Struthio camelus: one gene and its partner. The protein of the gene in region 1 purifies or fractionates together with the protein of each later gene. This does not show direct contact. Links are inferred from orthologs where the notes say so. Each region holds a gene or a part of one and is shown in the gene's direction. Other genes may lie near its edges.

Region 1 (3,741 bases):
AGCACACCACTTCTGCTGCGAACTGCAGTAACTGAATAACGACCGGTAACACAGACGTTCTCAAAGGTACAGGTGATTCACAAAAAAAAAAAAAGAAAGAAAAAAAGAAAAGGGAAAAAAAGCTGTTTCCCTCCAGCCCCCGCCAACACGGCGACTGACTGACAGACCATCCCTCGGGCCCAGGGAGCTGCGCCCCTTCGCCGGCGACGAACGCCGCAGCCGTCCGGGCAGGGCTGTCCCGGCGCCCGGCACCTGCTGCGCGGCTCCGCCCGCCCCGCCTCCCCCCCCCCCCCCCGCGCGCCCAACGGTTCCTGCCGCCTCCCCCCCCCCCCCCCCGCGCGCCCAACGGTTCCTGCCGCCTCCCCCCCCCCCCGCGCGCCCAACGGTTCCTGCCGCCTCCCCCCCCCCCCCCGCGCGCCCAACGGTTCCTGCCGCCTCCCCCCCCCCCCGCGCGCCCAACGGTTCCTGCCGCCTCCCCCCCCCCCCGCGCGCCCAACGGTTCCTGCCGCCTCCCCCCCCCCCCGCGCGCCCAACGGTTCCTGCCGCCTCCCCCCCTCCCGCGCGCCCAACGGTTCCTGCCGCCTCCTCCTCCCCCCCCCCCGCCCAACGGTTCTTGCCCCGTCCCCCCGCGCGCTCAACGGCTCCCGCCCCGGCCTCGCGCCCAGCGGCTCCTGCCCTCTCCCCCGCCCCGCGCGCCCAACGGCTCCCGGCCCCTCCTCGCGCCACATCACCGGCCCGGCGGGCGCGGGTCGCCGTGGTAACCGCACCTGCGAGCGGCCGCCACGCTCCCTTCCGCCTCTCGCCGCTGCCCCGGCTTCCGGGCGCTGCGCTTCCGCTGCCGGGCGAGGCGGCCCTCCCCGTGGCCATAGAGTTACAGCGGGAGCGGCGCCAGATTGTCGCCTGGCGCCATGTTGGGAGGGGTGGCGGCGAGCCCCCCGCGGCTCCTCGGCCTGCCGGCCGCCGGCCTGCCTGCCGCGGGGCTCTGCCGCGGCCGCGAGGGCGTTTGCCTGCCGGAGCCCCCGCGGCCAGGCCCCCCCCCCGGGGCGGTTTCCCCTTTCCGTGACGCGGCCCGCCATTGCCGGGGCCTGCCCGCCCGGCCCAGCCCCGCGGGGCAGCGGAGCCCGAGTTCCCTGGCACCGCCGACCGCGGCCCGGCACAGAGCTGCAGCAGCCGCGGCGGGCGGCTCTGAGAAGGCAGCGGTCAGTCCGAGGCGCCGGCAGGCAGAGCCCTAGAGGAGCAAGGGCCAGCGTCTGCCGAGCGGGCCGGTCAGCGGGACGAGGCCGGCCTTGTTTTCGGCCCTCTCCAGAGCCCCCGCACCGGATGTAACGTGCGGGACCTGCGGAGCAGCAAGTAAGAGCGGCGCAGGGAGAGCAGCGCTGCGTGGCGAGCGAGGGAGGGAGACAAGCTGGCTGTGCACACCCCCCGCTCCGAAATCCCTCGCGCCTTCAGCAGCCTTGTGACCGGCACGAGTCTCCTTTATCCCGTGCCGCCGTGTATATTGCTGCGCTGTTGTGCGCATCCCGTTCGCGTGCGGGGTCTCACGTCTTACGCTGACCCGTTTAGTCCGAGATCATGTCCCTAACGCAGCCAAGGGCCATAGGGCTAGGAAAGAGTGAAAGGCAGGGCAAACGCACGGCAGCGCTTTTCCAGAGTACTTGCTCAGCCTGGGTTTGCAGAGTTGGTAATTCCAGAGGCAGAGGTGGCATCTGCGTCGCGTCTTTCATGAGTTTGTCGAGTGAGCCGTCTCCCCCGTTGAAAGGACTTCCATGGCTCACTCGGGCTTTGTGTGGAGAACCACTTCTTTAGTTTGTTTACTGTTAGCAATGCAAGTATGAGAGGGGAATTAAAGCAGCATGGGACAGACACAAAACAATTGTTCCCTAATCACCTTCTTTATGCCATTCGTGATCTTACTGTCAGAAGTGCCCTTTAACAGTCTCTTTTCCAGGCTGAGGGTTCTGGCTCTGCTCGGGTGTTCCTCACACGCTCCATGGCGGGTTGTGTTAGCCACTTTTCTCTGAACCTTTCACAGCGTTACTAAGATCGTTTTGAGCCCCAGGGAGCAGAGTGGGGAGAGGGCAGAACGGCACATCTCCGAAGCTGAAAGTCCGGCCGGGCTGTATTAACTGCCAGGCAAGTTAACTTTGACAAGGCTGCGGGCAGCGTCCCAAGACCGAGGTCAAAGCCGCAGGACTAGTCGGTAGTCCTGGCTCGTGTTGGTCCTGCACAGCGATGCCCTTCCAAGCTGACCCTAACCACCGTCCACGCCCTCAGCTTTCTCAGCGCCCCTTTTCAGGTTTGTTCACAACGCAAGCACAAAGGCCTTGCAAAGCAAAATTAGGGATTGCTCAAATGTAATACTGTATTTAAAACGTTTTCTTTCTGGTTTAATTTTAAACCATGAACACAGCTCCGAAAACTACAGCTGATTGGCTGGCTGCATCTTTGAGCCTGGAGGCAGGAGAGCGCCGGGCGGTCGGTGTGGCCGCGCGCGCAGCGAAGCCGCCCTGGCTGAGCGCCCAGAGGCTTCTGTGCGCGTTGGGGTTCGGGAAGGAAAAGGGAGAAGCCAACCCCGTCGCCAGGCCGCACCGGCGGAACCGGGGCGCCGTGTGCCCGCCCGGGGCCGGGGCCGGGGCCGGGGCTGGGGCCGCCGCCGCCTGGCCTGCTGGCGCACGCACTACGTTTCCCAGGAGCCCCTGGGCGGCGCGGGCTGCCGCAGCCAATGGGGCGGGGGCAGCGCTGGGGGGTGGGGCCGGCCGGAGCCAATGGGCGGGGGCAGGCGCAGCGGCGGAAGCGGAGCTCGGCTCAGCTTGCAGCGTCGGTGTCACGGGAAGACGCAGCTACGGCTGCCGCCGAGGGTCCCGCCGCCGCCGCCGCCCGCGGGGCAGGTAGCGCCTTCGGCGGGGCGGCCGGGGCGCGAGGGGGCTCCGGGGCGGGGCTGGGGGCGGCGGCGGGGCGAGCGGCGGAGGAAGGGGGGGCGCCGCGGCCGCGCTCGCTCTCCCTCTCGCTGTGGAGGGGCCGCGGGCGCGGGCAGGGGCGCGGGCGGCCCCGCGGGCGCGGCGCCGTCTGGGGGGGGAACATCCGGGCCCTGCGCGCCCCGCACGGCGGAGACGGGCCCGGGGCGGCCAGGACCCGCCCCGATGGGCCAGCGCCGCCCTCCCTGCCATTGGCTCGCCGCCGCGTGAGGTCATCAGCGGGACGGCTCCTCACTGGCCGCCAGCGCTGGCGCAGGCCCGCGCCCGATTGGCTGGTGGGGCCGGGGCGCGCCGCATTGGCGCGGGGCTGGCGGGGCCGCTCGCGCGGCGCCCAATGCGGGGGGGCGGGGGCGGGCGCGGGGGGGCGGGGCGGGGCCGCGCCGCGCCGGTAGCGCCATGTAACGGTCGGCGATGCCCGCAGGTGCCATGAGCTCGCAGCAGTTCCCCCGCTCGGGCGCGCCGCCCGCCGGCCTGGGAGCAGCGCCGCCGCCGCCGCCCCTCCCCGCCAGCGCCGCCGCCGGCCTCATCAACCCCGCTGCTGCTGCCGCCGCCGCCGCCGGTAAGTGGGCGGCGCCTCGGGAAGCGAAGGCGGCTGCGCGTGGCGCCCCCCGCCGCGGTGGAAGGGCCGCGCGGAAGGCCGTTGGTCCCGGGGGGGGGCGGTGCGGCAGTCGGTGTAGTTGCCGGCCCTGACAAGCAGCGTTCAGCCCTGAACTGTTGCTTTTCTCCCTTTTTTGGGGGGTGCGGGGGGTTGACTGTCTGCCTTTCC
Region 2 (3,741 bases), on another chromosome or scaffold:
TGCAGAAAAGGGCTAAATGAGACAGCCGGGAATATCAATTTGAGACTTTTTCATGCTGCCTGGGATCATGTGTTTAGTATGGTGCCCGTACGTGTCTCACTGTGGCCTCTGTATCTTCGTCCTTAACTTTGTAGCAGTGCACAGGCAGGAGAATAATCTATATCCGACAGCTGTGAAGTGTCCATAATGGTTCTGGACCCTTTTGTTTTATGAAAGCTGCTATTTATTGATGTGAAGTAGCTGCTTTACCTTGTGCGTGTGAGATCACAGCACCGTGGTGGCAGTTTGTTGAGGAACAAGGAAATCGTTTATTGGGGAAAAAAAAGTAGAAAGGGTATAGAAGCGTCTTCAGAAGTCCTTTCCCATCGCTATAACATCCTACTCCAGATTACCTGGTGAGCAAAAGCATTATTGCAACTCCTGTGGCTTGTGATGGAGGCATTTCACTGGGATAGATGGGGTCATTGTGGCAAAAATGAGAACATTGATCTCTGGTTGCCAAAATCCCCTTTCCCCCATAAATCCCTTGAAGGGGAAGCGCTGCTGGTTGGCAAAGGCAGCACATAAGTATGCGCAAGGTGTGTTTTTATGCCTTAGCACAAGCACAGAGCGGAGCTGTTCCCGTTGGCAGAGGGAAACGCAGATTTTGCTCCCAGAGCCCTGGGCGCAGAGGTGTCTGCTGAGGGGCCTGCGGGCAGCTCGCTGCTGGGCAGTAACGCCCGCTGGAGCTGCGCGGCTCTGGGCCGCCACGAAGCAAGGCTGCCCTGGAGAAAGAGCCCGGCTCTCGTTCACGTCCGCAATAGGCGGGAGCTGGCCAGAGAGCTGGGCGCGCCGGCTGCTCTCCCGCCGCGGTGGCAGCGCTAGCAGGACGGCTGGAGATCCGCCCCGCTGACGCGCCCGGACCCGGCGGGGCCGGGGCTCGAACCCGCGGCTCGAACCCGCGGCCTCGAGAGAACCGCTCCCGCCCCGCCCCGCCGCGAGGACCCCGCCCTTAGGTGCCCGCGGCGTCCGCCGGGCGGCCGGCCCGCGCTCGGGCAGCGGCGCGGACAGCCCGGAAGCGGAAGTGCGGGGCCTGGCGCCGTTGCCGAGCGCCCGGCGGAGGCGGCGGCAGCGGCGGCTGCGTCCCGTCGCTATGAGCGCGGCCGGGCTGGTGTCTGCCACGCCGCCGGCCCCTGCCCCGCCCGGGGCGCCCGCCGGCGCCATGCCCCCCGGCCCCGAGTACTACGAGGAGGAGGAGCTGGAGAGCGCCGAGGAGGAGGACGGCGAGCGGAGCGCCCGGGCCCGCGACTCCGACGAGGGTCGGTAGCGGGGGGGGGGGGGCGCTGCGGGCCCTTGGCCTGGGGAGGCGGCGGGAGAGCGGGGCCGGCGGAGAGCCCCGGGCGGGGGGAGCGCGGAGCGGGTGGGTTTCGGCGGGGCCCGTCGCCCTGGCAGCCGCACCGCTGCCGGGGAGGAACCGGGGCCGCAGCGCGACGTGCAGCTCCTCACAAAGGTGACGGCTCACTGCTCAGGGGCGCTGCTCGCAGCGCGACCGGATTAAACATGGGAGCCCTTTCTTTAGGGTAACTTAGCTATTTAACTGTTCTTCTTGGAGTTAAAACACTTTACTTTCTCTTTGGTGTGTTGTTTTTTACCTTAACGTAAATAAGCATAAGGTATTTGTTCATGGTTTAAGAAAAATCTGAGAAAGGCTGGATTTAAAGGACTGATTACCTCCGTTCCCCCCTTTATAGAGAATATAGCTGTAGTTTAGGCTTTACAGTTGTAGCCTTAAGTCAATCTCAACTCTACCTTGGAGAAACTGGCTTTCCCTGGAAGAGGAAGGGTAATTAATTTTTGGCTACCTGGTCTCAGAAATAGGAACCTTAAAAGGCAACAACAGAAAGCTAACAGTGCCCTGTTAGTTTATTTTACTTATAATTATCTGTTGGCAAAACTGGGGCTGTGTTTATGTAATTGTGATAGTCTTTGCTATGTGTAAATGGTGAAATACTTCTGTGAAATATGTAGCAGAGATGTCAAGTTCAGATCTTAGCAAATAACTTCACGTATTATCTTTGTAAGCCGTAATGGCATCTAGTAGTAGCGTTTTTCTTGTGAAATGCATTTCAGAGTCTTTGGGTCGTGTTACCATCTCACCTCTGTATTTGTGGGCACTAATGTAGAATCTGTTGTCTTAAATTGGGAAGAAGCTGTCAGGGTATCTTAAGCTGAAGTCGTTCAAACTCGATGTAAGCTTCATTGCAAGCCTACGAGTGAATCTATGTGGGACAAATTGCAGTTGCAGGAAGCAGATGGGGTGGTTCAGTTCACTGCTGAATGAGTCTTTCCAGAGGCCTGTCGAATTGTAAAATGGAGAAGTTAAATTGCCTGTTCTTTTTAAAATGACTTGACTTTTTTTTGCTTTTTAATATTACTTTAGTTTCAACAACTCATTCTTTACCTTTTTTAGATACTGAGGATGCTAGTGAAACTGACCTGGCAAAACATGAGGAAGAGGACTTTGTGGAAATGAAAGAACAGTAAGTAACCTAATCTAATAAAAGTAAGTCAATACTTAGTTTTCTTTGCATAAAACTTTGCAAAGTTTTAGGCTGAAGTTAGGGACTTTTGTAAGTTCTTTGCCCAGTGTAATAGTTGATGAGTCCATATACACCTATCTCTTCTTTCCTCAGTTACTCTCTCTCTGTTCCATGTGTGTTCAAGGCACTAAGTGCTGCTACCGTTCTGAACAACAAAATAGGTGCAGGTTGAGGGAGCAACTCAATTTTGCTGCAAATTAATTCCTCGGCAGAAAATTCTTTTAAATAAAACAATGGACCTACTTGATTCAAGCCAAGTCAAAAGCAAGTTACCTGTTAAAATCCCTTAAGAATAGAATGCCAGCAATGTCCAGGAAGATGGGAGTTTTGGGCACTCGAAATAGCTTCTCTTGAAGTTTAAGTCTATTTGCAGCACTTTGTGGTCTTGCTTACTGGCAGAGAGATGGTTGTATACAGGTCACGAAGACGCAGCCTGTGGTAAACTGCAGATAGGTGAGAAGGGAAATACAAAATCTATTCCTGGTGCTTTTGGGCTTGCTTTTAGCTTTATTGATGTGGGTGCTGGGGGAGGCTTGCTTATAACTTCAAGTCCTCTGTAACCTGAGGAAATGTCCCCTATGTTATAAGTAGGGAACTAACGCACAAATATTAAGATCTGACAAAGTGGTGTCATGTTAGATTTCTGCATACAAAAGATAATTCTACCATGACTGTTCTCAAAATAATTGATTTGGGTGTGCTGCAATGTTAATGGGGCTGTAGGATTTTTAAATTGAATGATACTTTTTCATATATTGTTTTTTGCTTTCTGGAGTTCTGGAAAATTTTTAATTCAGTATATATGCAATAACCTAAACAGATGGTGAAATAGACTCTTTGTTTTGTTTTTCATTTTTATGTAATTTTGTGTGCTCTCCCTGCAGGATGTATCAGGACAAACTGGCATCTCTTAAGAGGCAATTACAGCAATTGCAGGAAGGTAAGCTCTGTAGGAGGTAGCTTTTTTCTAAAGAATTTTCAGCACTTTTCAAAGCTGAGGATTGATTTGGGAACAGCTGCAGAGGTCGTAGAAGGATTAGGGTTTTGAAAGCTGTAAGTAGGGCCCTTCACTGACCACATATCTCGGTCATGCTCTCCTCACTGAAAAGTGTTAGCCGCTTCTGATACTACACACTTGTAGGTAAGTCTCTGCGTACTGAAG

What was found. Proteins that work in one complex are often made in the same cells at the same time.
Region 2: the proteins of SAP130 (region 1) and SUDS3 purify together in Homo sapiens (affinity purification with western blotting; 3 studies listed by BioGRID, with this or other methods). This does not show direct contact. The link is inferred for Struthio camelus from reciprocal best matches to the Homo sapiens genes SAP130 and SUDS3.

Annotation. Positions count from the first base shown.
Region 1 is NC_090950.1:6,535,702-6,539,442, reverse strand, and holds the start of SAP130 (histone deacetylase complex subunit SAP130), read left to right. Parts: upstream 1-1,039; 5' UTR 1,040-1,350; intron 1,351-2,032; 5' UTR 2,033-2,232; coding exon 2,233-2,296; intron 2,297-2,754; exon of another isoform or gene 2,755-2,888; intron 2,889-3,396; coding exon 3,397-3,534; intron 3,535-3,741. UniProt on the Homo sapiens protein: Acts as a transcriptional repressor. May function in the assembly and/or enzymatic activity of the mSin3A corepressor complex or in mediating interactions between the complex and other regulatory complexes.
Region 2 is NC_090958.1:7,274,639-7,278,379, forward strand, and holds the start of SUDS3 (sin3 histone deacetylase corepressor complex component SDS3), read left to right. Parts: upstream 1-1,060; 5' UTR 1,061-1,132; coding exon 1,133-1,298; intron 1,299-2,449; coding exon 2,450-2,519; intron 2,520-3,463; coding exon 3,464-3,519; intron 3,520-3,741.